Macaca mulatta: one gene and its partners. The main gene of each other region encodes a partner of the protein of the gene in region 6 in a complex. Links are inferred from orthologs where the notes say so. Each region holds a gene or a part of one and is shown on either strand. Other genes may lie near its edges. The genes, in order: SART1, USP39, LSM7, SNRNP40, LSM3, LSM2 and PRPF4.

Evidence for each region.
Region 1: LSM2 (region 6) and SART1 share a complex: the UniProt entries of both Homo sapiens proteins name them as parts of the U4/U6-U5 tri-snRNP complex. The link is inferred for Macaca mulatta from reciprocal best matches to the Homo sapiens genes LSM2 and SART1.
Region 2: LSM2 (region 6) and USP39 share a complex: the UniProt entries of both Homo sapiens proteins name them as parts of the U4/U6-U5 tri-snRNP complex. The link is inferred for Macaca mulatta from reciprocal best matches to the Homo sapiens genes LSM2 and USP39.
Region 3: LSM2 (region 6) and LSM7 share a complex: the UniProt entries of both Homo sapiens proteins name them as parts of the precatalytic spliceosome. The link is inferred for Macaca mulatta from reciprocal best matches to the Homo sapiens genes LSM2 and LSM7.
Region 4: LSM2 (region 6) and SNRNP40 share a complex: the UniProt entries of both Homo sapiens proteins name them as parts of the U4/U6-U5 tri-snRNP complex. The link is inferred for Macaca mulatta from reciprocal best matches to the Homo sapiens genes LSM2 and SNRNP40.
Region 5: LSM2 (region 6) and LSM3 share a complex: the UniProt entries of both Homo sapiens proteins name them as parts of the precatalytic spliceosome. The link is inferred for Macaca mulatta from reciprocal best matches to the Homo sapiens genes LSM2 and LSM3.
Region 7: LSM2 (region 6) and PRPF4 share a complex: the UniProt entries of both Homo sapiens proteins name them as parts of the precatalytic spliceosome. The link is inferred for Macaca mulatta from reciprocal best matches to the Homo sapiens genes LSM2 and PRPF4.

What each region holds. Positions count from the first base shown.
Region 1 is NC_133419.1:8,451,985-8,455,484, forward strand, and holds part of SART1 (U4/U6.U5 tri-snRNP-associated protein 1), read right to left. Parts: intron 3,369-3,500; coding exon 3,242-3,368; intron 3,119-3,241; coding exon 3,013-3,118; intron 2,756-3,012; coding exon 2,678-2,755; intron 2,563-2,677; coding exon 2,463-2,562; intron 2,374-2,462; coding exon 2,231-2,373; intron 2,100-2,230; coding exon 1,893-2,099; intron 1,195-1,892; coding exon 1,070-1,194; intron 983-1,069; coding exon 867-982; intron 774-866; coding exon 631-773; intron 1-630. UniProt on the Homo sapiens protein: Plays a role in mRNA splicing as a component of the U4/U6-U5 tri-snRNP, one of the building blocks of the spliceosome. May also bind to DNA.
Region 2 is NC_133418.1:38,765,493-38,768,992, forward strand, and holds part of USP39 (ubiquitin carboxyl-terminal hydrolase 39), read right to left. Parts: intron 3,254-3,500; coding exon 3,101-3,253; intron 1-3,100.
Region 3 is NC_133424.1:3,075,559-3,079,538, forward strand, and holds the start of LSM7 (U6 snRNA-associated Sm-like protein LSm7), read right to left. Parts: upstream 2,801-3,980; 5' UTR 2,772-2,800; coding exon 2,766-2,771; intron 2,683-2,765; coding exon 2,592-2,682; intron 2,525-2,591; exon of another isoform or gene 1,436-2,524; intron 1,001-1,435; exon of another isoform or gene 917-1,000; intron 827-916; exon of another isoform or gene 405-826; intron 1-404. Other genes in the region: SPPL2B (signal peptide peptidase-like 2B), read left to right, coding at 2,925-2,990. UniProt on the Homo sapiens protein: Plays a role in pre-mRNA splicing as component of the U4/U6-U5 tri-snRNP complex that is involved in spliceosome assembly, and as component of the precatalytic spliceosome (spliceosome B complex).
Region 4 is NC_133406.1:209,565,584-209,569,554, reverse strand, and holds the start of SNRNP40 (U5 small nuclear ribonucleoprotein 40 kDa protein), read right to left. Parts: upstream 2,801-3,971; 5' UTR 2,789-2,800; coding exon 2,648-2,788; intron 1-2,647. Other genes in the region: ZCCHC17 (zinc finger CCHC domain-containing protein 17), read left to right, coding at 3,119-3,238, 3,787-3,798. UniProt on the Homo sapiens protein: Required for pre-mRNA splicing as component of the activated spliceosome. Component of the U5 small nuclear ribonucleoprotein (snRNP) complex and the U4/U6-U5 tri-snRNP complex, building blocks of the spliceosome.
Region 5 is NC_133407.1:152,980,521-152,984,654, reverse strand, and holds the start of LSM3 (U6 snRNA-associated Sm-like protein LSm3), read right to left. Parts: upstream 2,801-4,134; 5' UTR 2,748-2,800; coding exon 2,727-2,747; intron 160-2,726; coding exon 49-159; intron 1-48. Other genes in the region: XPC (DNA repair protein complementing XP-C cells), read left to right, coding at 3,037-3,136. UniProt on the Homo sapiens protein: Plays a role in pre-mRNA splicing as component of the U4/U6-U5 tri-snRNP complex that is involved in spliceosome assembly, and as component of the precatalytic spliceosome (spliceosome B complex).
Region 6 is NC_133409.1:150,509,493-150,513,464, forward strand, and holds the start of LSM2 (U6 snRNA-associated Sm-like protein LSm2), read left to right. Parts: upstream 1-1,172; 5' UTR 1,173-1,382; coding exon 1,383-1,385; intron 1,386-1,994; coding exon 1,995-2,062; intron 2,063-3,972. UniProt on the Homo sapiens protein: Plays a role in pre-mRNA splicing as component of the U4/U6-U5 tri-snRNP complex that is involved in spliceosome assembly, and as component of the precatalytic spliceosome (spliceosome B complex).
Region 7 is NC_133420.1:45,029,425-45,032,924, forward strand, and holds part of PRPF4 (U4/U6 small nuclear ribonucleoprotein Prp4), read right to left. Parts: intron 2,655-3,500; coding exon 2,567-2,654; intron 2,176-2,566; coding exon 2,096-2,175; intron 1,929-2,095; coding exon 1,835-1,928; intron 1,117-1,834; coding exon 1,022-1,116; intron 1-1,021. UniProt on the Homo sapiens protein: Plays a role in pre-mRNA splicing as component of the U4/U6-U5 tri-snRNP complex that is involved in spliceosome assembly, and as component of the precatalytic spliceosome (spliceosome B complex).

The DNA of each region.
Region 1 (3,500 bases), on a different chromosome or scaffold from region 6:
AGCCACTTCCCTGAGTCCAGGGCCCCGTGGCTGTCCTGTTCACCAATGACCTTCTCGGCCCAAGAACAATGCACTACCCACAGCAGGCACTCAACAAACATGCACAGGAAGAGACAGGCCAGGAAAGGATCCCCTACTAAAGCAGGCATCTAAAAACTTTTGCAAAACATGACTTTTAAACAGAAAACATGACTTTAACCAGGGCTGGTCGCAGTGGCTCACACCTGTAATCTTAGCATTTTTGGAGGCCGAGGCAGGCAGATCATGAGGTCAGGAGTTGGAGACCAGCCTGGCCAACACGGTGAAACCCCGTCTCTACTAAAAATACAAAAATTAGCCGGGTGTGGTGGCAGGTGCCTGTAATCCCAGCCACTCAGGAGGCTAAGGAATGAGAATCACTTGAACCAGGGAGGCGGAGGCTGCAGTGAGCCGAGGCCACGCCATTGCACTCCAGCCTGGGCGACAGAGCAAAACACTTGTCTCAAAAAAAAACAAAACCCAGAAAACAAAAAACAAATGGAAAAGAGGCTTCAGACAGGAATGTGGCTGTTGCCTATGACACATGTGCTCGTGAGGACAGGTGACTGCTGACGCACTGGTAGCCCCAGGCCTGCCCATGCCCAGCCTCACCTTCTCGCCACTGTCTCGCAGCTGCTGCAGCTGCTGTAACTGTCGCAGCCGGCGTCCCTTCTCCAGCTGCTTCTGCAGCTCCAGCTCTGCCTCGTCCTCCTCCAGCACCTGCGGGGACCCCGGCTGTGGAGCTCCACCTTCCTCTGGGGGATACACAGGGGATGCCTGCTCAGACAATCTCCTCCAACCCAGGGCTCCTGTCCCTGCCCCCTCCCACCCCCTGGCCAGGCCCTCACCCTCATCACTGATGTCCATGTTCTCCACTCGGGTGTCATCCGACGGCAGGGGCTGAGGCACGGGCTCCTTCTCCTCCTCCACCTCAGACACTCGGCGGCGACCCCGTCCCCGCAGTCTGAGGGAAGGAGGCCTCTCTGGTGAGCACCGGCCCCCGGGACACCCCAGCCCAGCCCTCTCACCCCACCATGGTGTCCAAGCCCACCTGGAACCAAAGTCCCCATCCTGAGTCTGGTCCCCGAGAGGCAACAGGTCATCCGCCCGCACTACGACCTCCTTCTCCTTCTTGCGGATTTTCCTCACCCTCCGCTTGGTCCTTCTAAAGGCCACCTGAGGGGAAGAGGGAGGCGTGGGGCGGGGCGGGGAAAGGCAGGCCACCACAAGCCCGCGAGGATGAACACTTCTTTGGTGTTCTTCTGTGCTAGCCAGTGTCCTGAGCACTTCTCACACATGAGCAACACGTGGGGTGGTTACTATCTCCCTTCCACTGGTGATTAGGGAAACTGGGGCACAGAGAGGTTAAGTACCTTCCCCAAGGTCGCCCAGCTCCTAGGTGGGAAAGCCGGGCAGTCTGGCTCCAGAGTCCTGCTCTTACCCACTGAGCAAGACGCCTACTACACCAGCTGACTACCTCACGTTCACACAGTCACTCTGCGGACAGAATCCACGCACACCTTTCCAGTCACCCCTCAGCCACACTGTCACTCATCCTCACAGCAACCTCAGGAGGTGGCTCCTATCACTGCCACTCCAGATGGGGCACCCCAGGCTCACAGTTAAATGGCTTACCCAAGGCACAAGCTGGCAGTATGGCAGAGCAGAAACACCAACTGGGGCCCATCTGGCTCAGCAGCCCTGACCCGTCAACACCTGGTGCCTCCCCAGGTTGCCATTTACTGCTTGCCCACGAGGCCAAGCGCTTTGTGAACAGAAATACTTGCCCTCTCTTCCCAGTGCCTGCGGGCAGCGCAGGAGCCCCAAGGGGAGGGAGAATCATGACCCCAAGTACAAGGCGCAAGAGGGCTCACCATCTCCTCGGGTGTGAGGTACTCGGAGGCCAGCCGGGGCCCCACCGTGCTCAGGGACTGAGCCTGCAGCCGCAGCTTGGCCCGGATCTCCTCCAACTCCCGTTCCCGCAGGCCATCGGCCATGCCCCCCTGCTCCAAGCGGAAGGAATGCGGCTGCTCCCCCTCAAGCTCTTCGTCGTACTTGGACAGGATAGAGCGAGGTTTTTGCTACAAGGTAAGAGGTACAGGTTGGGACCCAGGGTGGCTCCTGAAAAGCCACTGAGCCACCACCTCCTCAGAGCCCCTATTCCCGACATTCTCCACCCCAGCCCCCGCCGCCCAGCCTGCTTGGGCCGTGCCTGCGCCAGGTCGTCCACACTCTCGTCCTCGGCATAAGGCAGGTAGTCGGGCTTCTTCTTCCGCAGCTCCACATTCTTCTCTGCCCGCTCCTTATCCACCAGGTTCACGTTCACCAGCACGTCCTCCTCCTCCTGCAGCACGCCTGCGGGCAGCACAGAGCAGTGGCCATTCACACTTGTCCACAACTCAGCAGAGGCTGTGCCCCGACCCAAGGCACCCAGCTCGCGTCACCTTTGTCCTTAAGGGTGAGGATCATGGTCTCCCCTTCTCGGAAGGAATCAATGGCATGCTCCACGGTGAGGCCCTGCAGGTCCCGGGCACTGTACAGGTCCTAACAGAAGAATCAGGCGAGTAAAGAACCTCCCTCCATGCGCCCAACCTTGGGATTCCAGCATCAAGGCCGCCAGTGTGCCCTGCACCACCCACCCCGGCTGCTGCAGCCTCACCTGCCGTCTCTGCCCGAACTCCTCCTCTACCAGAGTGCTGACACCAAACTCTTGGTCCATCTCCTCCAGTAACTTTGCCTATGGGACAGGGAGGGGTGACCTAGGACCTCAGGCCACTCAGCACCACCAGAAAACACTCAGGGCTCTACCAAGCGGAGTGCAAAAAGAGCAGGCCTTGCAGGAAAGTTGCTGAGAATCCAAAGCGGATGCTACCAACCACAGCCCATCCCCTCTCCGAACCCCGTCTCAACTCTCTGGGGTCCACCCCCTGCCTCAATGCCCAGTCAGGCCAGCAAAAGCACTGGGCAACCACCCCATGCTGCCCAGGTGCTCACCCTCTTCTCTGCCAGGTCTTTCTCCTTCTGCAGCTGCCGGCTCCTCTCGATCCAGGCTGCAGTGTCGTCCAGCCAGGGATCATCCTCTCCTAGGGTCTTTATCTTCCTGAAGAGGGGAGAAAGTGATGCTCCAGGAGCCCAGCTCCTGCTCCCAACCCCACTCAAAAGGCAGCCAAGGATGGTGGCCTCCCCAGCCCTTCCCTTGCCTGCCCTGGCCAGGACCCCTCACCCCAGCTTTTGGTTCAGCAGGCGCTTCTCCTTGGCAGCCGCCAGCTTCTCCCGCAGCTCCTCTCGCTGTCGCAAGGCCATAGGATTGATGACATCGGCTGTCACGGGCTCCTCCTTGGTGCCCGCCTCTGGAAGGGGGGCCCAGACGTGAGGCTATGCCCGCCCATGGCTGGTGGGGAGAGGAGGGAGCCACTCACCCTGCCCCCTTCCAGCTCAGGGGGCCAGAAGGGGTCAGGACAGGAAGGAACAATCCTTCACCT
Region 2 (3,500 bases), on a different chromosome or scaffold from region 6:
CCTGACAAGCTGAGCCCAGCTAAAGAAACAAGGACTTCCAACTTGTAGAATAATTACTTCAAAGAGAGATTTACTCTCAAAACAAGAGGATGCATAAAGTTTATCCTAATTCTCAGTTGTCTATCTTATAGAGAAATGTTGCACTCTGGCTTCAGCAACAATACAAATAATATTGGACATCCTCAGAGAAGAATTATCCACCCTCCAGATGGATGACCTGGTCCAGTCAACCCTATTTTAGCGGAAACATCATCACACAGGGTTTGTTCATCCATTTATTTTTATAAAGAGACGTTCCTACATGAACTAAAATTCATCAGAAAGCCAAGACTAACAGCTCTGACCAAATCCAAATTCTATCTGTCCATCCTATAAGTTTTCACTCAGCGGGGCATGGTGGTTTACACCTGTAATCCCAGTACTTTGGGAGGCCGAGGGGAGCGGATCACGAGATCAGGAGATCGAGACCATCCTGGCTAACATGATGAAACCCCATCTCTACTAAAAATGCAAAAAATTAGCCAGGCGTGGTGGCACATACCTGTAGTCCCGGCTACTTGGGAGGCTAAGGCAGGAGAATCGCCTGAACCTGGGAGGCAGAGGTTGCAATGAGCTGGGATTGCGCCACTGCATTCCAGCCTGGGAGACAGAGCAAGACTCCATCTCAAAAAAAATTAGTTTTCACGCAGCCATGAGAGGATTTAAAGGGAACATCTGATGAAAAGTCTCTCTCTACCTAAGAATTTGACCTTTCCACAGACTAGGCATGACACCAAGAGCAGACACCAAATGTAAAAACTACGCCTTTACAGTTTTTTGTCCAATTCTTCATGACAAAAATATCACTTAGAAAAATTTAAAGGCCAAATAAGTACTAGCAGAAAACATTTGCAACATATCCAACAGAAAAGGGCATAACTTCATTATATATTTCTTAAAGCTCAGTAAGATGAACCAATAGGAAAGGAGTCTATAAGGTGCAATAACTCAAGAAAAAAATATAAATAATCAACTTTAGAAGTGAAGCAAGTTTGGGTGCAGTGACTCACACCAGTAATGCCTGTACTTCTCAAAGTCCTCAAAATTCTCCAACAGCCTCGAATTCCTGGGCTGACAGGATCCTCCCACCTCAGCCTCCCAAACAGCTAGGACCACAGGCATGCATGCACCACCGTGCCCAGCTAATTTTTTTTTTTAAACAGAGACACGGTCTCGCTATGTTGCCAGGCTGGTTTCAAACTACTGGCCTCAAGGGACCCTGCCACTTTGGCCTCCCCAAGAGCTGGGATTAGAGGCATGAGCCACCGTACCCAGCCCCTCACAATTTATACATTTTTTCCCCAGTAAGCCTGTGTTTACAATTACAATTTTTTAATCACGTTCTTGGTGAAGTAGAATTATTGTTTTCTTATTATACTTACCAACATTTAAAAATTGGCCGGGCGTGGTGGCTCACACCTGTAATTCCAGCACTTTGGGAGGCTGAGGCAGGTGGATCATGAGGTCAGGAGTTCAAGACCAGCCTGGCCAAGATGGTGAAACCCTGTCTCTACTAGAACTACAAAAATCAGCCAGGCGCAGTGGCAGGCGCCTGTAATCCCAGTTACTCAGGGGGCTGAAGCAGGAGAATCGCCTGAACCCGGGCAGCAGAGGTTGCAGTGAGCTGAGATCCCGCCACTACACTCCAGCCTGGACAACAGACTGAGACTCCGTCTCAAAAAAAAAAAGAAAAGAAAAGAAAATAGGACAACTTTGGTTTTCTGTCTTTTCCATTTCAGGGTTATGAGCATATGGGCAAGAGAAAGTCATTGATCAGCCAGCATGACAAACATCTACACCATTTAAAAAAAAAAAAATGCATCTGGCATGTTTCTTACTTGACACTGCAAGGCAACACAAACTTGGTCCCGCATTCCCTGGAAGTTACAAAGGCCATGAGCCAGAGGCATGAAAAAGCCTCACCAGCCGGGCGCGGTGGCTCAAGCCTGTAATCCCAGCACTTTGGGAGGCCGAGACGGGCGGATCACGAGGTCGGGAGATCGAGACCATCCTGGCTAACACGGTGAAACCCCGTCTCTACTAAAAAGTACAAAAAACTAGCCAGGCGAGGTGGCGGGCGCCTGTAGTCCCAGCTACTCGGGAGGCTGAGGCAGGAAAATGGCATGAACCCAGGAGGCGGAGCTTGCAGTGAGCTGAGATCCGGCCACTGCACTCCAGCCTGGGCGACAGAGTGAGACTCCGTCTCAAAAAAAAAAAAAAAAAAAAAAAAGAAAAAGAAAAAGCCTCACCATTTGACAGCAGCCCAGTGAGCAAAGGAATGCTCTGCCTGTTGCAGAACAATTACTCAAGTAGAGTCCTTAGCAAGACTTGGTGTCTGAGGATCATCTGACTATACTCTATAAGAAGGCAGTAATTTCTTTTTTGAGATGGAGGAGTTTCGCTCCTGTTGCCCAGGTTGGAGTGCAATGGCATGATATCGGCTCACTGCAACTTCCACCTCCCAGGTTCAAGCGATTCTCCTGCCTCAGCCTCCCGAGTAGTTGGGATTACAGGCATGCACCACCACACCCAGCTAATTTTGTATTTTTAGTAGAGATGGGGTTTCTCCATGTTGGCCACGCTGGTCTCCAACTCCTGACCTCAGGTGATCCTCCCACTTTGGCCTCCCAAAGTGCTGTGATTACAGGTATGAGCCACCACGCCCGGCCAAAGGCAGTAATTCCTTGGCCAGCATACATACTATTTCCTGTCCCTCTCTTTTTTATTTTTTCTTGAAACAGAGTCTCACTCTGTTCCCCAGGCTGGAGTGCAGTGGCACGATCTCGGGTCACTATAACCTCTGCCTGCCGGATTCAAGTTGATTCTCCCACCTCAGCCTGCCGAATAGGTGGGATTACAGGCTTGCACAACCATACCTGGCTAATTTTTATAATTTTAGTAGAGACAGGGTTCCGCCATGTTGGCCAGGCTGGCTGGAACTCCTGACCTCAGGCAATCCGCCCGCCTTGGCCTCCCAAAGTGCTGGGATTACAGGGGTGAGCCACTGTGCCCAGCCTTCTGGGTGTCCTTCTCTTCCTCAGTGTTCCCGTCTTGATCTTACCTGAAGAACGGCGTTGGCATAGTCATTAGCCTTTATGTTATTCAGTCCCACAATACCCGGCAGGTAAGTGGTACCATCATATGCCCGGGACAATTTGGCTTGCTTGTCCAAGTTTGCAATTTGCTGCTTTGTGAAAGTGGGCTTCAACACATACTGCAAAGCAAAAGAAAATGCTAAGTTGTTTAAGAGCTGAGTTCACAAGAAATGTCTACAAACAACAGCAATTTCTACAAAAACAAAGAACACTTTGGCCATGAACATCCCACCACACACAGAAAAAGTCCCAATCAGTAGGTGTAAAGATTGAAGTAACACAGGGTAGATCCTCTCCCATGGCTAATCTACAAGGGGATCTCTGTGTCTAACCCAAAATCACTGAATCCCAGGTCTTTTCATAGAC
Region 3 (3,980 bases), on a different chromosome or scaffold from region 6:
CTCGCCGCCTTAGGTCACAACTTGGCACCTTGGGTTAGGGCTCTCTGACCCGGTGGTGACCTCTGCCATCTGATCCTGCTCCGCAGTGTCTGGTGACACTGAGAAGGGTGAAGGGGGAGCTGCGTGTCCTCAGCAGAGGCCAGCCCACCCTCCCTGTCCGGGACTCCCGTCCTCTCCCCCCAGGCTCCTCCAGCCCAGGCCCAGGAGCGGTTCCGCCTCTGCGCTCACTGAGGGGCGTCCCACAGCCACCCGCTCCCTACCCTCCTTCTTACCCCTGTCATCTTTCAGGTGCTTCCTCCAGACACCAACCCACACCCCTTAGGGTGCTGCCCTCTGCATGCCCCCCACCAATCTCAGGAAGCAGGCACCCCAGGCATTATTCTGCCCGCCTATCTTCTCCCAAGGCAGGGCTGTGAGCCTGTCCATGGCCGTTCTGCGCTGCGAACTACGACCAGAGGCGAAAGTGGCCCACCGCTCATCTCTGTATGCCAAAGTTTCACTGGCCCACCAGCACACTCGCCCGCTCAGGCACTGACCAGGGCGGCTCTCCTGCTCTGCGGGCATAGCTCACTGGTTGTGACAAGAGACCATCTGGGCTGCAAAGCTGAAGATATTTGCTGTCTGGCCTTCTACAGAGAAGGTCTGCCCACCTGCATACAGGCTTTAGCTCCTACCTCCACGGCTCCCTCTCTCTGTGCTCAAGTCCCTCCCCTGCAAAATGAAACTTGTCACCTATGAGATGGGGTCAGACGCAGCGGTTCAGGTCCTTGGCACCAGCCTGACCAGTGAGCCAGCCCTCCTCACGGGGACAGATGTGAGCACTGAGGTAGGTAGGTCTCTAACCAAGGTTCCCCTCCCCGGGGTGTGGGCTCGGGCCTGTGACTCTGAGGGGACATGACGTCACTCCTGCACTTAGGTTATGCAGCTGTTTAAGCCCCTGAACCAGCTGACTTTGAGCCAATCTAGAGGGAAACACCCTGGGTGAGCCTGACCATATCAGGTGAGTCCTTCAGGGAGCAAACCCTTTCTCTGCTGTGTGTGTGCGTGTGTGTGATTTATTTATTTTTAGACGGAGTCTCGCTCTGTCTCCCAGACTGGAGTGCAGTGGCGCGATCTCAGCTCACTGCAACCTCTGCCTCCTGGGTTCAAGAGATTCTCCTGCCTCAGCCTCCTGAGTTGTTGGGATTACAGGTGTGCGCCACCACGCCCAGCTAATTTTTTTGTATTTTTCGTAGAGATGGGGTTTCACAAAACCCCATGTTGGTCAGGCTGGTCTCGATCTCCTGATCATATGATCCGCCTGCCTCAGTCTCCCAAAGTGCTGGGGTTACAGGCGTGAGTCCCTGCGCCCCGCCAAGAGCTGCAGCATGCATCACCAGCCCACTGCCCATGCGAATGCTTCCTGCCCTCTGAGAGCTCGCCCTGTCTTCACTAGATTCCATGGAAGAGTCGCAGGCAGAGGCAAGCATCAGGTTAACATGCACGAAACCGCAAACGGTGACAGGTGCCACCAGGATCCTAGAACGATGGGGGGCCTGACGCCAGGGTCAGGGAGGGCTTCCCAGAGCAAGCACCTGTGGAACTTGTGCTTTTGCCGCCCTTTGCAGTCATAATCAGAAGTATGGATTCGGATTTTACTCCAAAACAACGGGGAGCCTCAGAGCTTTTCAGCAGGGAGCAAGAAGCCTCCATTTCTTTTTCATTAGGTGCCTCTGGCCGCTGAGTGGAGACTGACCTTAGTAGCTGTGATTCCCAATCACAGCTTGGGGGTCGGGGGGCGATCCTATCCCCAGAGAACACTAAGCAATGTCTGAGGCTATTTAGGTTGTCACAACTTGGTGGAGGCCAGGGATGCTGCTCAGCACCCTGCAGTGCCCCAGGACGGCCCCACTCCAGAGAATCCGGCCCCAAATGTGTCCACACTGCTGTGCGGGAAAGACCTTGACTTAGAGGGAGGAAGAGGAGAAGCCGGGAGATCTGTGGGGATCTGGGGCAGTCCTTGGACACACAGGACTGCTCTGGAGGCCAAGCCGGAAATCCCAATACCGGCTGCGCCACTGTGACTTTGGGTTACGTTTGTTTCCCGCTCCTTGCCCCAGTTTCCCCGCCTGCAAAATGGCCATACCAGTTCCTACCTCCCGGCGTAATTCGGAAGCCTGCACAAGGTAGTCGGCGTCAAGCGTGTAAAGAGGCGCCTCTGCGGCGGCTCACGCCTGTCATCCCAGCACTTTGGGAGGCCGAGACGGGCGAATCACTTGAGGTCAGAAGTTTGAGACCAGCCTGGCCAACATGGTGAAACCCCGTCTCTACTAGAAATACAAAAATTAACCAGGAGTGGTGGCGCCTGTAGCCCCAGCCACGCAGGAGGCTGAGGCAGGAGAATCGCTTGAACCCGGGAGGCGGAGGTTGCAGTGAGCTGAGATCGCACCACTTGCACTCCAGACTGGGCGACGGAGCGAGACTGCGTCTCAAATAAATACATAAATAAAAATAAATAAAAGAGGCGCCTCTGCATGCATCCTCATCACCTCTCTTGCTGAGTTTATTTTAAAATTTTAAAGGGGGGGTGCCAACGGCGGGAGCCGCCTCACCTTCGCGTCCTCCCTGAAACTTCACCCGGATCGTCTTGTCGATGTACTTGGACAAGTCCAAGATGCTCTCCTTTTTCTTCTTCTCCTTATCCTGCGGGGAAAGCAGAGCGCATGAGGCCTGGAGCGCGGCCCGAGCCCCACGCCCCCCGGCTCCGGATTCCGCCGCGCGCTCACCGCCATCTTGTCGCGCCGTGCGGCTCTTCGCAGACACCGCCCCGTGCCCTGTGACCTCTCCCCTCCCCCCCCACGCGCATGCGCGGCGCATGCGTGGCCCGGGGTCTCGGGGCGTTGCTGGGAAACATCTGCCGACGGTTGCGGCGGGCACCGGCCGAGATGGCGGCGGTGGCGGCGGCTGCGCTGGCGCGGCTTGTGGCGGCCTTTCTGCTCCTCGCGGCCCAGGTGAGCGCGGCACCGGTCCCGACGGCACCGCAGGCTGCGGCCCTTCGGCCTCTCGGCCCCGAGGCTACGCGCAGGAACGACCCCTCTTGGCCCGTCTTGGGGGGTCGAGCCTCGGGGATCCGCGGTCCCCTCGTTGTCGGCCGGCGGTGCCGGGGCCCGGCCGTGACCTTGCGGGGCTGTCCCCGGCTTCTCTCCCTTCCCCGCCTCGGAGGCCCTCCGCCGCTGCAGCGCCCCTCACTTCCCACCGGGCCTGAAGTTTGTGCCCCCTCCATCTCCCGGTTCTGCTTGTCCGTTTCGGGGTCTCCAGCCGCCGCGGGGGACGCCTCTCTCCCGCTCTGTGGCCTTGGGCAGGCGGCCGCCCACCCCGCTCCGAGCCTCAGTTTCCCTTTAGGCGGAATGGCCGGGTGCTAAGCTAACCTCACCCTAGGGGGTGCGGTGGGGGAACCCAGAGGCGTCCCGCGTGTCCCCCAGTGACTGGCCAGCATCCTGGAGCGGCCAAGAGCCCAGCCCTGCACTGGGGTCGTATCCCCGCTCCATCTTTTACTCCGTGACCTTGGACGAGGGAATTCCCTGCTTTGAGCGTCGGTTGCTCGTCTGGAGAAGGGGGGTCGACTATGGTGTGGATTCTGGAGATGCTACCCAGGGTGACCAGCGCCTAGGGACAGCACGCCTTCCTTATATTCATTGTGTATCCTTTGATGTAGAGTGTCAGGTTCTAGCGGGGACAGTCTACGAGATGGCACTGTCGTAACTGCATCTTTTATTTTCTTAATTCCAAGTCTTCCCTCTTACCTGAGTTTGGTGGCTCAGGGAATGGAACCCGGAGCAGCCTCACAAATGCGGCCCTTAACCTTCACTCCTCTCTCAGAGTTCTCTTAAGGCGTTGCTGCCACTGGGCTCCTTCTTAGTCTCCACTCTTCCAGCCCCACCGCCATCCCCCTGCTGTGGCTGCCTTTGTCCCCCACATCCCTAGTCCATCCTCGACACAGC
Region 4 (3,971 bases), on a different chromosome or scaffold from region 6:
GACACAGTCTTGCTCTGTCACCCAGGTTGGCATGCAGTGGCGTGATCTCGGCTCACTGCAACCTCTGCTTTCTGGGTTCAAGGGATCTGGTGCCTCAGCCTCCCGAGCAGCCAAGATTACAGGCATGCACAACCATGCCCAGCTAGTTTTTGCATTTTTAGTAGAGATGGGGTTTCACCATGTTGGCCAGGCTGGTCTCAAACTCCCAGCCTCAAGTGATCTGCCTGCCTTGGCCTCCCAGAGTGCTGAGATTACAGGCATGAGCCACTGCGCATGGCCTATTTTTCTTTCTTATTTTTTTCATAGCGAAGGGATCCTCAGCACGGGTGAAGTAGTTTTGATTATGGTCTTGGACACTAAGATGACACTTGGGCAATTCATCTAAACATGGGCTGATATGCTCACTTGTCAAATGGGAGAAGTATACTACCCATAATCCCCAAATCTCTTCAGCACTTTCCAGCACATTCTTACTTATTTATTTATTGGGAAGGAGTCTTGCTCTGTTGCCCAGGCTGGAGTACAATGGCATGATCTCATCTCATTGCAAACTCCGCCTCCTGGGTTCAGGCGATTCTCCTGCATCAGCCTCCTGAGTGGCTGGGATTACAGGTGCCCGCCACCAAGCCCCGCCACATTCATTTAGTTTTAAAAAATGTTATGTGCAGGCTGGGCACGGTGGCTCACACCTGTAATCCCAGCACTTGGGGAGGCTGAGGTGGGCAGATCACTTGAGGTTAAGAGTTTGAGACCAGCCTGACCAACATGGTGAAACCCCATCTGTACTTAAAAAAACACAAAAACTAGCCAGGCGTGGTGGTGGGCGCCTGTAATTCCAGCCACTCGGGAGGCTGAGGCAGGAGAATCGCTTGAACCCGGGAGGCGGAGGTTGTAGTGCGCTGAGATCGCGCCATTCCACTCCAGCCTGGGTGACAAAAGCAAAATCCCATCTTAAAAATAAAAAGTTATGTGCTAGGCACTGGGCAAACAGCTATGAACAAAATAAACAATGGAGCTTGCTGTTCCAGTGGGAAAGGGGGAAGGGAGGAGAGAAGGTGAGAGAAAACAAGCAAAATATATACTTGGTGTCATGTGCTATAGAAAAAAAGAAGGGATGGGCAAGGTGGCTCATGCCTGTAATCTCAGCACTTTGGGAGGCCAAGGTGTGCAGATTGCTTGAGCTCAGGAGTGAAATCCTGTCTCTACAAAAAAATACAATACAATTAGGTGTGGTGGTCTGTGTCTGTGGTCCCAGCTATTCAGGAGGCTGAGGCAGAAGGATTACTTGATCCCTGGTGGCGGAGGATGCAGCGAGCCAGTGGTCAACACAGAGAGATTCTATCTCAAAAGAAAAAAGAGAGAGAGAGAGAGAGAGAGAGAGAGAGAGAGAGAGAGAGAGAAGCAATGTGGGTTCCACATTATGTGGTACTGCAATTTAAAACAGGGTGGTCAGGAAAACCCTCACTGAAAAAATTATATTTGGGCAAATATTCGCAGGAGCTGAATAATAAACCATGTGAACATTTGGGAAGAGCAATCCCATAGGGAGGACAGCAAATGCAAAGGTCCAGAGGCAGAGGTTTGGAAGAGAGTGTAACTGAAGCCGGGTGAGCAATGAGAAATTGGTCAGAGAGGTAAAGGGAAAGAGGACAAATAATTATAAGAATTTTGGTTTTTACTCTGGATGAAGTAGAAAGCCACCAGAAAGTTTTCTGCAGAATGTAATGTGATCCGTTGTTTAGAAGGATTCCTTTGGTTATTGGCTTGGTAACAGGTGCTGCTACAAAGGCAGAAAGTGGAAGACCAGTTAGGGTCCCACTACAAAAATGCCAGATGAGATAATAACGGCTTAGGCCATGAGGCAGTGATGGAAATGGTAGAAGTAGCAATTCTAGATCTATTTTGAGAACGGTGCCAGCAGGATTTATTGAGGAGATGAGAGGACACTCGTATTTCCTCGTCTGAGCCTAAACAGGGCATTAGAAGTGTGATCACTATTTCCATCTTACAAAAAATATAGTTAGGAGCATGGTTTCTCAGTTCAACATCTGTTTCTATCACGTGCTTGATAAGTCTGCTTTTCCATCTGCAAAATGGGTTAATAACGTTCCTAACAGGCTGCTACCAAGATCAATGGAAATTTCATATACGAAACACCTTAGTACAAGAGTCAACGAATGTTAGCTGCTATTCAGTTGTTAATAATACTAGTGCAGAGAAATAAAGGGAAAAGCAACTTGCCCAAAGTCCCAAAACGAGCCAACACCAATCATTTCCCTCTTTTCCTCCCTCCCTCATTCATTCATTCTACAAAGTCTTCGGAATTTCTGTTCTACGCTAGATCCATGTTAGAGTCAGGATGCTTAAGCCCGGGTCCGGGTTGTGAGCCCAAGGTTCTCAACGCTAATTCTAACGCTACCTCACAAGGCAGTCGAGAGGCTGAAAACCAGCGCCAAACGGGCGAACAAGTACTGAGCATCCGCAGGCTATGAGGCGCTTTTACAATGTTGGTGTGCTTTAACTCTAGGTAGAAACTCTCGTTCTGCCCCCCGCAATGCGGGAAGGGTCGGTGCCGGGTCACCAGATACAGCGCTCTGAGGGGAGGAAGATGAGCTGAGGGCCAAAGGCCGCCTGCTTCTTCACTTACCGCTTGCAGCAAAGCTCCCGGCGTCGCCTGCTGCTGCCCGGCTCCCGGGCCCGACCCCGCTCCCAGTAGCAACTCATGCCGCTGCCGCTTGACTGGAACCAGCGGCAACTCTGGGCCCTTACGCTTCTGTTGTTCTATCATGGCGGCAACCGGTCTCTTCAGCGCCGCCACTGACCGCGCTGCCCCCCTCAGGCGCCACGCAATTGGTTCCAGCTTAGTCCTTCCTCCACAACTTCCAGCTTGGAAGAACCAATCGGTTTTCAATATACCCATTTGCACTGCCCTCGGATAGTCTCTTGTTATTGGGCATATCTTTCTGACGTCATGAGAGTGCGATTCCAGGATTGGTGGACGGAGCTGGCGACCTCCCTAGGCGCGCTGGGTCTTGTGGGTGGAAACGCGCTGGCTGACTGGGCTCGGCGTTTAGTTCAGCGCCGGGACTCGGGGGCCTGGAGCTGACGCCTAGTACGTATGAGGAAGAGCTGGGTGGGTGGCAGCCTGAGTCTGAAGGCGACGCCTCGGTTGTGCAGTCTGAAGCTGCCCTTCTCAGCTGAGGGTGCCGATAGCAAGGGGTGGGAGGCGGGGCCCCGAGTCCCCAGCTGTGGTAAGTAGTAGCATGGGCTCCCTTTCCGGGCGGGAGCGGAGCCTTGGGGGTCTCTGGCGGCAAGACCCAGTCCCTGCGGCTCCCTTCTTCAAGAGCGCCCGTCGTGGCCAGTCCTGTGCCGGGCATTCCCAGGGAGAAAGGCCTGTGTCCCAACTTCCTCCGGCGCCCCGTTTGGCCGAGGAGGCTGACTTGTTTCTGCCACTGATTTTGCAGTTTTTGATTAGGGCCTAGTCTCTGCCCCCCTGAGAGAGACAATGATGAAGGAAATGTCCGACTCCTTCTCCAGAGCGCAGTCTTGTTGAGAAATTTGAGACTCATGCCCATGAACGTGGTCATTGCGTCAGTCGTCCAGCTGATATTTATTTAGCAGCGCGTTGGGGGTACGTCGTGAACCAGACACGGTCCCTACTCTCAGGGCGTTTAAGTCTGGTGGGGAAAACGTTAAACAATGACCTCACTAATACATGGAAATGCCTCCTAGTGCTGTTTGATGCTGAGTGCCTGAAATAAGCAGGAAGGTTTTTCAGAGGAAAAGATGCCTGCTCTGGTAGCTGCAGGAAGAATTGTAATTAATTAAGTGAAGAGGTAAAGGCAGAACCTTCCGTAGAGAACTACTTGTTCAGAGCCCTGAGGCACTTGGGAGGAAAAATGACTAAAAGCACAAAGAGCCAGTGTGACTGATACAAAGAGAATGAAGGGGAGTATGGTACAAGATGAAGC
Region 5 (4,134 bases), on a different chromosome or scaffold from region 6:
GGGGTGGGAAGGAATCTGATTTCAAGGTAACTTGATAAATTTACTCACATGTAATCTGCCTCGAAGCTCTCGGTCATTTCTCATCTTCACATAAATTCGCTCATCTAGGCTGAGCCTGATAAGATCCAGGGGCTCCTCTACAGTGTTGGTAGTTTGTTGCTGATAACAGAAACAGGTTTAGTAATATAGTACTAGAGATAAAGTAGTGCTTAAATCACTGCTATGCTGTATGACCATGTGCAAGTTATTTAACCTTTTTCTGCCTCAGTCTCCTAATCTGTAAAATGGAGATAATAGTGTCTACCTAATACTGTTTTTATGAGGCTTAAGTGACATATATGAAGGCTTAGAACAGAACTTTTCACATAGTATGTGCTATATAAATGTAGATTAAAACACGCATACATAAGAAGGAGTTACACAGCAAAATAATCATGACTATACTTTGTTCCCTCAAAATCCAAACTGCCTGACCCGATTTCAGGGTATAGGGTCTTAGGAACTTTAGCTTTATCTCAAATATTATGTAATCATAGGAAAAACACTCACTTAATGCCTACCATATACTAGTCAGAATGCCAAGTAGAGGTGTAGGTTTATGGGAAGATTATGAATTCAGCACAGGTTGAGGTTAGGCTGCCAACTGGCCAGTAAGATGAATATTTAGTAGCCAGAATAGAACACTGGTTCAAAGCACTGGCTTAGCCGGGCATGGTGGCATGTGCCTGTAGTCCCAGCTACTCCGAGGCTGAGGTGGGAGGATTGCCTGAGCCTGGGAGGTGGAGGTTGCAGTGAGCCAAGATGGTGCCAACAAGCAAGCAAGCACTGACTTTGGAGTCAGGCAGTCTGGGTTCAACTCCTGGCTGTGACCTGACACTTATGAACTGAGATTAAAAATCATGCCATCTGTAATTCTCAGATTCTTCATTTGTAATTGAGAAAGCCACAACCTTCCTTCTGGATTCTTATGAGGATGAAACTAGTTAATGCATTTAAAACAGTGCCAGGAAAGCAGAAAATATTAATACTTAGAAACGGTTCCTTTTGGCTGGGCGTGGTGGCTCAGGCCTGAATTCCAGCACTTTGGGAGGCTGAGAAAGGCAGATCACCTGAGGTTAGGAGTTTGAGACCAGCCTGGCCAACATGGTGAACCCCGTCTCTACTAAAAATACAAAAATTAGCCAGGCGTGCTGGCACGTGCCTGTAGTCCCAGCTACTTGGGAGGCTGAGACAGGAGAATCGCTTGAACCAGGAGGCAGAGGTTGCAGTGAACTGAGATCACGCCACTGCACTCCAGCCTGGGCGATAGAGTGAGACTCCATCCAAAAAAAAAAAAAGAAAAGAAAAGATTCCTACTAATATTATATTATTAAAGAACTGCTGGAAACACTGGTTTTAGAGGTCAGGGCTAGGATGACTTGGGGTCACCCACATGGAAGGGAGGGTTGCAGCCATTAAAGAGTTAGATGATTCAAGGAGAGCTTCTTTAGTAAGTACACAAGGCCAGTGGAGGAAGGTAACTGAATTCGTAACAGGCGCTAAAGATTCAAAAGGCCCGATGAGAGAAAAAAAAATAACCTAACTCAACTGGTCCCTATGTCCCTCAGTTCAACAGGTGTTTGTTAAAGGATCAGATAACCAACTGTTAGATTACAATGATACAGAAGTCACAATCTCCACCCTCAAGGAGCTCATTCTAATGTGGATAGGCATATGAATAATTATAATACTGTAAGAATATGCACATGACAGAGCTCTACTGCTACCTAAGCCTCTGTCTGGGATGCCCACTTTCTGTTCTTTTTCATCCTGTAGCTTTATACATTGGCTTTTAAAAGAGGCCTCCTCTGATCATCTAACTCATTCACTCAAATATTTGTTGAGTATTTCCAGCACTGTTCTAAACCCCAAGGACAAAAGAATGAACAAAACAAAATGCCTACTGTTATGGCACTTACATTCTAGTCAGGAGAGATACACATTAAACAAAGATGCATACATTTAATATGAAAAAATAACGTTCTATGAAGAAAAATGAGGCAGGGTAAGCAGAGTAGGGGGAGTGCTATTTGGGCAGAAGTCCTCTCTGAGGAGGTGAGATTTCAGTAGAAAGTTTAAGTTGTAGCATGATCTCCAAAGATATTTGAGGAAGAAAAAGACCAGGTGAAAAAGCTTCTAGGACCATCTGTTATTCTGCATACCAGTTCCTTGTTTCCTTCATAGCACATCACAGTTCCTATAAATCTTACATATTTATATTTATCTGTTCTCCTCGCGAATATAAGCTCCAAGTCATGGCAAGGATCACTTATATATCGATGTCAGTGTCCCTGGCTCTTAGAACAGTGTCTAACCATACAAAGCTGATGTTCACTCTCTCTGCTGAATGAGTAAATAATTGTTGTGCTCAGTAATAACAACTCCTAACTTTATTATCTGGCTTTCTATTGGAATCCTGACAGCTCCGTGAGGTAGGCACGCATAATAATTTACAGATTTAAAAAAACAAAGCGAAGAGTGTGATGAATAGTCATCAGGTGGCCTTCTAACGGAAAAGACCTCAGGGCCTGCAGCAAAATTCGGACAGGGGTGTTTACGGAAAGGATGGGGCGGATTAGGCCGTGTGACTTGGAAAGAAGAGGCGCGACTGGCCATTTTTCCTGCGTTTGGAAAAAGCAGTTTAGTACAAGAAGCGGCGCCGAGCCACCGCCTTAAAATTCACTCACCTGGTCTACGTCGTCCGCCATGTTTCAAACCCTGCGCCCTTTCCCGCCTCTCGCGAGAACACAAGAGCAACGCCGAGCTCCGGAAACGTGATGCTACAATACACCGGAAATAGAAACCTGCTGTGCTCTTGCCTGCTTCCCGCGGTTTTTTAGTGGCCACGGGTATGGGGCGGAGCTTCCTTTGGGGGCGTGACTAGGCCTCCAACGAAGGGGCGTGGCCAGACGCGCCCGCCTCGGGGCGGGGCCTGCGTTCTAACGCATCGCGGCCTGGTGCGTCACTCGCGAAGTGGATTTTTCCCCGACAAGCAATATGGCTCGGAAGCGCGCGGCCGGCGGGGAGCCGCGGGGACGCGAAACGCGCAGCCAGAAGTCCAAGGCCAAGAGCAAGACCCGGCGTGAGGAGGAGGAGGGTGAGAGCGTGGCCCAGCGGGCTTCGCGGGAGACTCTGCCGGTGGGCGGAGGAGGCCCAGAGGCAGGGGCGGCGGGAGTCCAGACGCGGAGGCCGGGAGGAGGTTGCTGCGCGCGTTCCGCGCAGTGGGGGCAGCACGGCAGGCCGCGGCCGGCCCTCCCCGCTGTCCCTGCGCCTTTGTCCTCTGCACCCAGAGCGGCTTCCCGTGAGCCTCGCCCGACCCAAGCTCCTGCGTAGCTTCTTTCCCGCTCCCCGTTGTCCAGAGGATACAGCGCAGATGTTCAGGGTTGAACGCGGAGAAGGCAGTTATTTGTGTCCCAGGAAAACGGACGGACGGACCAGGACGTAGAGTGATGCAGTGTGCTGACTCCCGAATGATAACTTCAGCTGAGTCTCGCCCAGAGTTCCACAGTGGGATCCCACCTGACTTCCCCTCGTGGATATTGGATAGGCTTCTTACATTTGTCGTGGACAGTGCAGAGCTCATGGTCTTCCCCTTCAAATCTATGCTTTCCTCCGTTTTTCCAGTCCCAATACTTGTTATAAAACAAAGTCCACCTTTTTCTTATGTGCACACATCCAGTCCCGTCAGCAAGTCCAGTCAGTTCAGCCTCAGACTGTATTTCAAATTTGTCCACTTCTCTTCATTTCCATGGCCACAACCCCTGTCCAAGTCACCATCACCTTTCAGTTGAGTGACTGCAGTTTCCTCTTGACTGGCCTCCCAGCTCTGCATCCAGCAACGCAAATAATCTTTAAAAAAAAAAAAAAAAATCATGCCATGCTCCTGCTTTAAACTCTCCTTGGTTTTCCATTGCTCTTAGTTTAAAATCCAGTTGTCTTATCCTGGCCTGCAAGATGCTACGTGTTTTGGCTCTTGCTACCTCTCCTGTTTCTCCTACCACTTGTTTCCTTGCCAGATACCCTCCTCATTGGCCTCCTTTCTCTTCCTCAAATATGCCAAGTTATTTCTTGAGCCTTTTCCTTTGATATTCCTTC
Region 6 (3,972 bases):
TTTCACTGTTGTTGCCCAGGCTGGAGTACAATGGCACGATCTCCACTCACTGCAACTTATACCTCCCGGGTTTACAGGCGCGTGCCACCACACCTGGCTAATTTTTGGGTTTTTAGTAGAGACAGGATTTCGCCATGTTGGCCAGGCTGGTCTAGAACTCCTGACCTCAGGTGATCCATTTGCCTTGGCCTCCCAAAGTGCGGGATTATAGGCGTCAGCCACTGCGCCCGGTCAATTTTTTTTTTTTTTTTTTTTTTTAAGACGGAGTCTCTCTCTGTCACCCAGGCTGGAGTGCGGTGGCCGGATCTCAGCTCACTGCAAGCTCCGCCTCCCGGGTTCACGCCATTCTCCTGCCTCAGCCTCCCGAGTAGCTGGGACTACAGGCACCCGCCACCTCGCCCGGCTAGTTTTTTGTATTTTTTAGTAGAGACGGGGTTTCACCGTGTTAGCCAGGATGGTCTCGATCTCCTGACCTCGTGATCCGCCCGTCTCGGCCTCCCAAAGTGCTGGGATTACAGGCGTGAGCCACCGCGCCCGGCCAATTTTTTTTTTTTTTTTGAGACGAGTCTCGCTCTGTCGCCCAGGCTGCAGTGCAGTGGCATGATCTTGGCTCCCTGCAACCTCCACCTCCCGGGTTCACGCAATTCTCCTTCCTCAGCCTCCCGAGTAGCTGGGATTACAGGCGCCCGCGACCACGCCTGGCTAATTTTTTTTGTATTTTTAGTGAAGACGGGACTTCACCATGTTGGCTAGCCTGGTCTCGAACTCCTGACCTCACACAATCCATCCACCTTGGCCTCTCAGAGTGCTGGGATTGAAGGCGTGAGCCACCGCCCTCGGCCTTTTTTTTTTTTATCAGCTGAATTTAAGATTAAAAACATTTTTTAATTTTATTTTTTGAATTTTATGTTTTTACTTTAACAAATATAGAAAAGTGCACACTTCATAATCTTCACAAACTCCCCACAATTCTCGATAGGATGTGTGTAGAGGGCACGAACACATCACGCTGTGGACGGCAGGGTTATGGAAAACAAAACCTTTTGAGCTCAGACGCCGAGTGCCTCCACCCGCCTAGCAGCCCAGGCTAGGGTCCGCGCCTGCGCAATGGGAGCCGGCCGGCCCTGGAAGAAGTCGGAACGAAGGAAACCCCGCCCCTTTCCCGGCTTCCTCCTCCCCTCGGTTTTACCCAGCTTGCGCTCCCCAGCCGCAAGTCGGCCGCGCTTTACCCTTCAGCGCTTGGAGGGTTCTGCGTCCCTTCCCGCTGCGCCTGCGCGGTCCCGCCTCGCCCCACGCGCGGGCTCGCGCTTCGGTTCTCCCAGACCTGGTCTCAGCATCCGGCTCTTTTCTCGCTCCGGCCCGCTGCCCGCTGCGCCAGCACCATGGTGGGTACCGTGACGTCAAAAGGGGTCGCCCTCGGGGATCTCGGACGGTTGGGGCAGGGGGGTCTGGCCTTTGTCCCCCTAGGCTGGAGTTAGGTCCGGAGTTTTTATCTTCATCGTTAGTCCTGTTCCTCAAGTTCGTTGAGGAGACACCTGAGAGCAAATGGGATTTTTTTTTTCCATGATGAGGAAAAAAACCCCAACCCTGAGAGAGATTCAGTGGGGACAGCGGGAGACGGAAAAGTTAGACCTTAGAGCACTTCTCTGCCAGGCAAGCTTCGGCAGGGTGCGGGTGGGATGTTTTCTGTAATTCATTGAAAGGAGTGGGCAGGTACCCGAGAAAGGTGGTCGATTGAGAGAGCACACTGGGGAGGCCGAGGTATGCAGGGCAGAGCCTCTCTGGGACTTTAAGTGATGGGCTCAATGCAGTGTGCAGAATAATTTGGGCTCCAGCCTTTCACCTCTCAACCAATTATTCTTTCCTGTGAAATTTTGAGAACTGTTAGGGATGCAATGGGGTTCACAATACCGGTATTTGGTAATACTGTCAAGGGACACTCCTCCCTACCATGTTCCTTCCCACATGATGGTTTTCCCCCTCTCTCCCAATAGCTCTTCTATTCTTTTTTCAAGTCCCTTGTGGGCAAGGATGTGGTCGTGGAACTCAAGAATGACCTGAGGTAGGTACCTGTTCCAACAAGTCTGTTGGGGGTGGGTGTGCCCAGGGCCCTGGAACCTCTTTAATTTGAGAAATATTTGAGGGCTGGGTGAGGTGGAATATGTACAGAAGAAATAAATGGCCGGGTGCGGTGGCTCACGCCTGTAATCTCAGCACTTTGGGAGGCTGAGGTGGGCGGATCACGAGGTCAGGAGATCAAGACCATCCTGGCTAACACGGTGAAACCCTGTCTCTACTAAAAATACAAAAAATTAGCCAGGCATGGTGGCAGGCCCCTGTAGTCCCAGCTACTTTGGAGGCTGAGGCAGGAGAATGGCGTGAACCTGGGAGGCAGAGCTTGCAGTGAGCCCAGATCACGCCACTGCACTCCAGCCTGGGTGACAGAGCGAGGCTCTGTCTCAAACAAACAAAAGAAATAAATGGGTGGGGTGCAGTGGCTCACGCCTGTAATCCGAGCACTTTGGGAGACTGAGGAGGGAGGATTGCTTGAGCCCAGGAGTTTGAGGCTGCAGTGAGCAGTGATTACTCCATTGCACTCTAGCCAGGGCAATAGAGCAAGACCCCATCTCTAAGACAAATTTTAAAATTTAACAATAAATAAATGCCTTGTGCCTTAAATTTACAGATAAGCTTGGGGATTGTATTGTGTATTGGAAAACAATACAAAGCAATATACAGTTTAAAGAGTAAATACTGGTCAGGTGTGGTGGCTCATGGGCTGGACGTGTGGCTCATGCCTGTAATCCCAGCACTTTGGGAGGCCGAGGTGGGTGAATCACGAGGTCAGGAGTTCAAGACCAGTCTGGCCAAGATGGTGAAACCCCGTCTCTACTAAAAATACAAAAATTAGCCAGGCATGGTGGCAGGTGCCTGTAATCCCAGCTACTTGGGAGGCTGAGGCAGGAAAATCGCTTGAACCTGGGTGGCAGAGGTTGCAGTGAGCTGAGATTACACCACTGCACTCCAGCCTGGGTGACAGAGTGAGACTCTGTCTCAAAAAAAATAAATAAAGAGTAAGTACTAGGCTGGCCATGGTGGCTCACACCTGTAATCTCAGCACTTTGGGAGGCTGAGGCAGGAGGATCACTTGAGTCCAGGATGTCGAGACTAGCCTGGGCAACATAGAACCATTTCTATAAAAGATTAGCCAGATGTGGTTTACATGCCTGTAGTCCCAGCTATTCGGGAGACTGAGGTGGGAGGATCACTTGAACCCAGGAGGTCGAGGCTGCAGTGAGCCATGATTGTACCACTTTACTCCAGCCTGGGTGACAGAGGAAGACTGTCTCAAAAAAGAACAGGCCAGGCCAGGCGCAGTGGCTCACGCCTGTAATCCCAGCACTTTCGGAGGCCGAGGTGGGCGGATCACGAGGTCAGGAGATTGAGACCATCCTGCCTAACATGGTGAAACCCCATCTCTACTAAAAATACAAAAAATTAGCCTGGTGTGGTGGCGGGCGCCTGTAGTTCCAGCTACTTGGGAGGCTGAGGCAGGAGAATGGCATGAACCCAGGAGGTGGAGCTTGCAGTGAGCCAAGATGGCACCACTGCACTCCAGCCTGGGCGACCAGAGCGAGACTCCATCTCAAAAAAATAAACAAAAAAACAGAACAGGCCATAGGCTGGGCATGGTGGCTCATGCCTGTAATCCCAGCACTTTGGGAGGCTGAGGTGGGTGGATCACAAGGTCAAGAGATTGAGACCAGCCTGGCCAACATGGTGAAACCTACGTATTAGATATGCTACTGTGTATCTAATACCTAGTATAGGCCAGTTGTATGATAGGTGCTTAAGGAAAGAAAAATAATATCTGAAGACCTATTGACTAAGCACTATTCTGAATACATTTATTGATTGATTTCTCAAACACTCCTTAGTAATATGTACTATTGCTGTTATACATATGAGGAA
Region 7 (3,500 bases), on a different chromosome or scaffold from region 6:
ATCATTTATACTTTACAGTGAAGGTAATGAGGCTTGGAGAGGTGGACTGATTTGTGCAGTCCCTTGGCTTTCTCCTAAACCAGTCTCAAGGTCGGCCTAGTCAAGTAGCTCCTGTGTATTAAATCTAAGTTTCCTTTCTCTTTAGTTAGCCATGTCTCACAAAAAAACACAACCATTTGGGAGGCCGAGGCGGGTGGATCACAAGGTCAGGAGATGGAGACCATCCTGGCTAACATGGTGAAACCCTGTCTCTACTAAAAATAAAAAAAATAAAAAAAAAATAAAAAAAAAAAATTTGTCAGGCATGGTGGCAGGCACCTGTAGTCTCAGCTACTCAGGAAGCTGAGGCAGGAGAATGGTGTGAACCCAGGAGGCGGAGCTTGCAGTGAGTGGACACTGTGCCACTGCACTCCAGCCTCGGCGACAAAGTGAGACTCCATCTCAAAAAAAAAAAACCAAACCAAACCAAACAACCAAACTCAAACAAAACAACAAAGTTACCACATCCTGAGTTTTCTGCGTATGTGGTGATAAGAAAATAAAACAAAGATAAACCAATAATTAACATTTAATGAGCCCTTACTACATACCAGGCACTGTCAAGGCAAAATGCTTTACAAACACTACCTCATCCCACTTTACAGATAAGGACACTGAAGCTGACAGGGATTAAGTATCTTAGGGAGATCACATAACTGAAAAAGAAAAGCCAGACTGAGTTATGGATACTAGTTGGTCTGTAAACTCACTACATGACCTGCTCCAAAATACTAGTGTCAAGAATGTGACAGAGTGCTAGAGTGTAATGAATCTCTGGGGTCACTGGTGAAGACTGAGAACGGCTAAACCAAGTCTGCATCATATTATACAACAGGTAGAGCACTGACTGATATCTGTAGTTTGGTGTGATCATGAGAAGCAGAGAAAGAGGACGTACAAATAGACGTCTAAGACAAATGCTAATATTTTCCTGAGCCTGTTCCCCATTTAGGAAAAAATGTCACTGTAAAATGGAACTTACCAACAAGCTGTGGCCAGCATCTTGGAATTGGGACTAAAGTGACAGTAGGAGATAGGCCGATCATCCCCAATCTGACTGCAAAAATTATTCAAAGACTTAAAAAGAAAAAAAACACACACACACGATGATCATTAATAGGTTAATCTGAGTTCCTTGGCTTTTCCACCAAAAAAAGAACAACAAAGCAACTTTTCAGTTTTAACCCATCCCAAGATTCTTCTGTGGTTTTGAGACAGAGTGTTGCTCTGTCGCCCAGAGTGGAGTGTAGTGGTGTGATCTTGGCTCACTGCAACCTCTGCCTCCCAGGTTCAAGCGATCCTCCCATCTCAGCCTCCCAAGTACCTGGGATTACAGGCGCATGACACCATATCTGGCAAATTTTTGTACTTTTAGTAAAGACAGGGTTTCATCATGTTGACTAGGCTGGTCTCAAACTCCTGAGCTCAGGTGACCCACCCACCTCTGCCTCCCTAAGTGCTGGGATTACAGGCATGAGCCACTGCACCCAGCTGTTTTCTATAGTCTTAGTATCACAACTTCTGAGTCAGATAAATATAAACAGAAAACCCCAGAGAAACTTTGACGTATTAACAGGGAGAAATAAAGAAGAGAACCATAGGCCTCTGCTGAGTACAAAGCACAGCAAGCTCCTGTCACGTTAACTGATTGCTCCTTCCATGTCACAGCAGCTCAGCTCAAGCAGGGAGGGATCGCTCTAGTCACCTCTACCTTCCCAGAGGTGGGCCAAAGTAGAAAAATCACACAAATATGAAGAACCTTTAAGACGTGGGACAATCACTGGGAGCATCTTACCCGGAGAGACTTGTGCAGCTCTTGCATCTGGGAGGTCCTTGTTGTCTCAGGAATCTCCTTATGGAGTCGGGCCTCTTCCAAGCGTTTCATTGCCCTGTGACACAGAAACACCATCACCAGGAGCAACAGGGTTGTAAACAAGGGTCCACATGTATCTCTACCCCTCAATTTCATTTAACAACCACAGTCATTATCAAGCACTCAGTTCCTGAAACACACACACAAAATATGCTTCTTTCTTCTACTGGAGGCTCTCTTTACCTGGGCAATGAATAATTAGCAATCCATAGTCTTGCCACCTTCAAGCTATTTGGTCCTTCATGGTACCAGGTCTGCTGATACTGAAAGGCAAATTAAGAGCAGAAAGGTCAAATCTGAAGCATTCTACTCCTGTCGTTTCTCCATGTTAACTGCCCAGAAGGAAGGTGAATTCGTTTGGTAATAGTATGAAATCAGGCATATGGCTTTCTACCGTATTTTTTTTCTATGATATGTAAATAGATGGTTATACCAGGAATGCTATGATTCTTTCCTGACTGGAAAACTCACTTAGCTCCATTCATACTTACAAAGGAACCAAAACTACTGCCAGCAACTATTCTTGAATGGTAGAGCCTTCAAAGACACTTCCCTCCATCATCTTAGCAAAGCAAACCATTGAAAGCAGAAAATGAGAGACCTATCTCCTCATTTCCTTCATGTTTACACTGTGAAGTTAAAGACATGTTCTACCTCTTCTTTGGACTTCTTAGACTTCTCATCATCCTTTTTGGTCTTTTTCAAGGCATCAGTACCGACGACTGAGAGGATATTTCTTAACCTGTTAAAAAAAAAAAAAAAAAGATCAGAATTTAAACATGGTTGACATAACACTGTTTTTAAAGTACACTTTAACACAGTTTTAAACACTGTTTTTAAAGCTCCCCTAAGATGGGAGCAAGCCTCTACTATTCTCTTACTGTTCAAACCACCTAGCAACCTTTTTTTTTTTTTTCTTTTCAAGAGATGAGGTCTTGTTGTTGCCCAGGGTGGAGTGCAGCGGCACGGTCATGGGTCACTGCAGCCTCAAACTCCTGGGCTCAAGCGATCCTTCCACCCCAGCCTCCTGAGTAGCTGGGACTACAGGTATAATGCTACAACTGGCTAATTTTTAAATTTTTCTGCAGAGACAAGGTCTTGCTATGTTGCTCAGGCAAGTCTTGAACTTCTGGGCTCAAGTGATCCTCCTGCCTCAGTCTCCCAAAGTGCTGGGATTATGGGCATAAGCCACTATGCCCAGCCCTCCAACAACCTTCAAAGAGTCAAGTGGGGATGGCTAAACTCCCACTGTGGTTTCTCCCACTCAGTCTTCTCTATTTGGAAATTCCCAAAATTCAACTATAAGCAATTACTCTATGCAGTTTAGAGTCAATGAGCCCCTACACTGCTACCACTTGGTTTGTGAAGACTGCCAACTTTCACTCAGTGCCACAATGTACTGGATACGGACTCAGGTGCTAACTGTACAGTGATGACTAAGAATCCGTTCTTGATTTCAAGTAGCTTAGTCCTGGGGAAACGACAGAGAGTACTGGCGAACTATATTATATTACCTATCACGACAGCAGTAAGCACACAGTGCTAGAGGGGACTTTGTAAGGGGGATCTAACTAGGCTTAGAGGATCA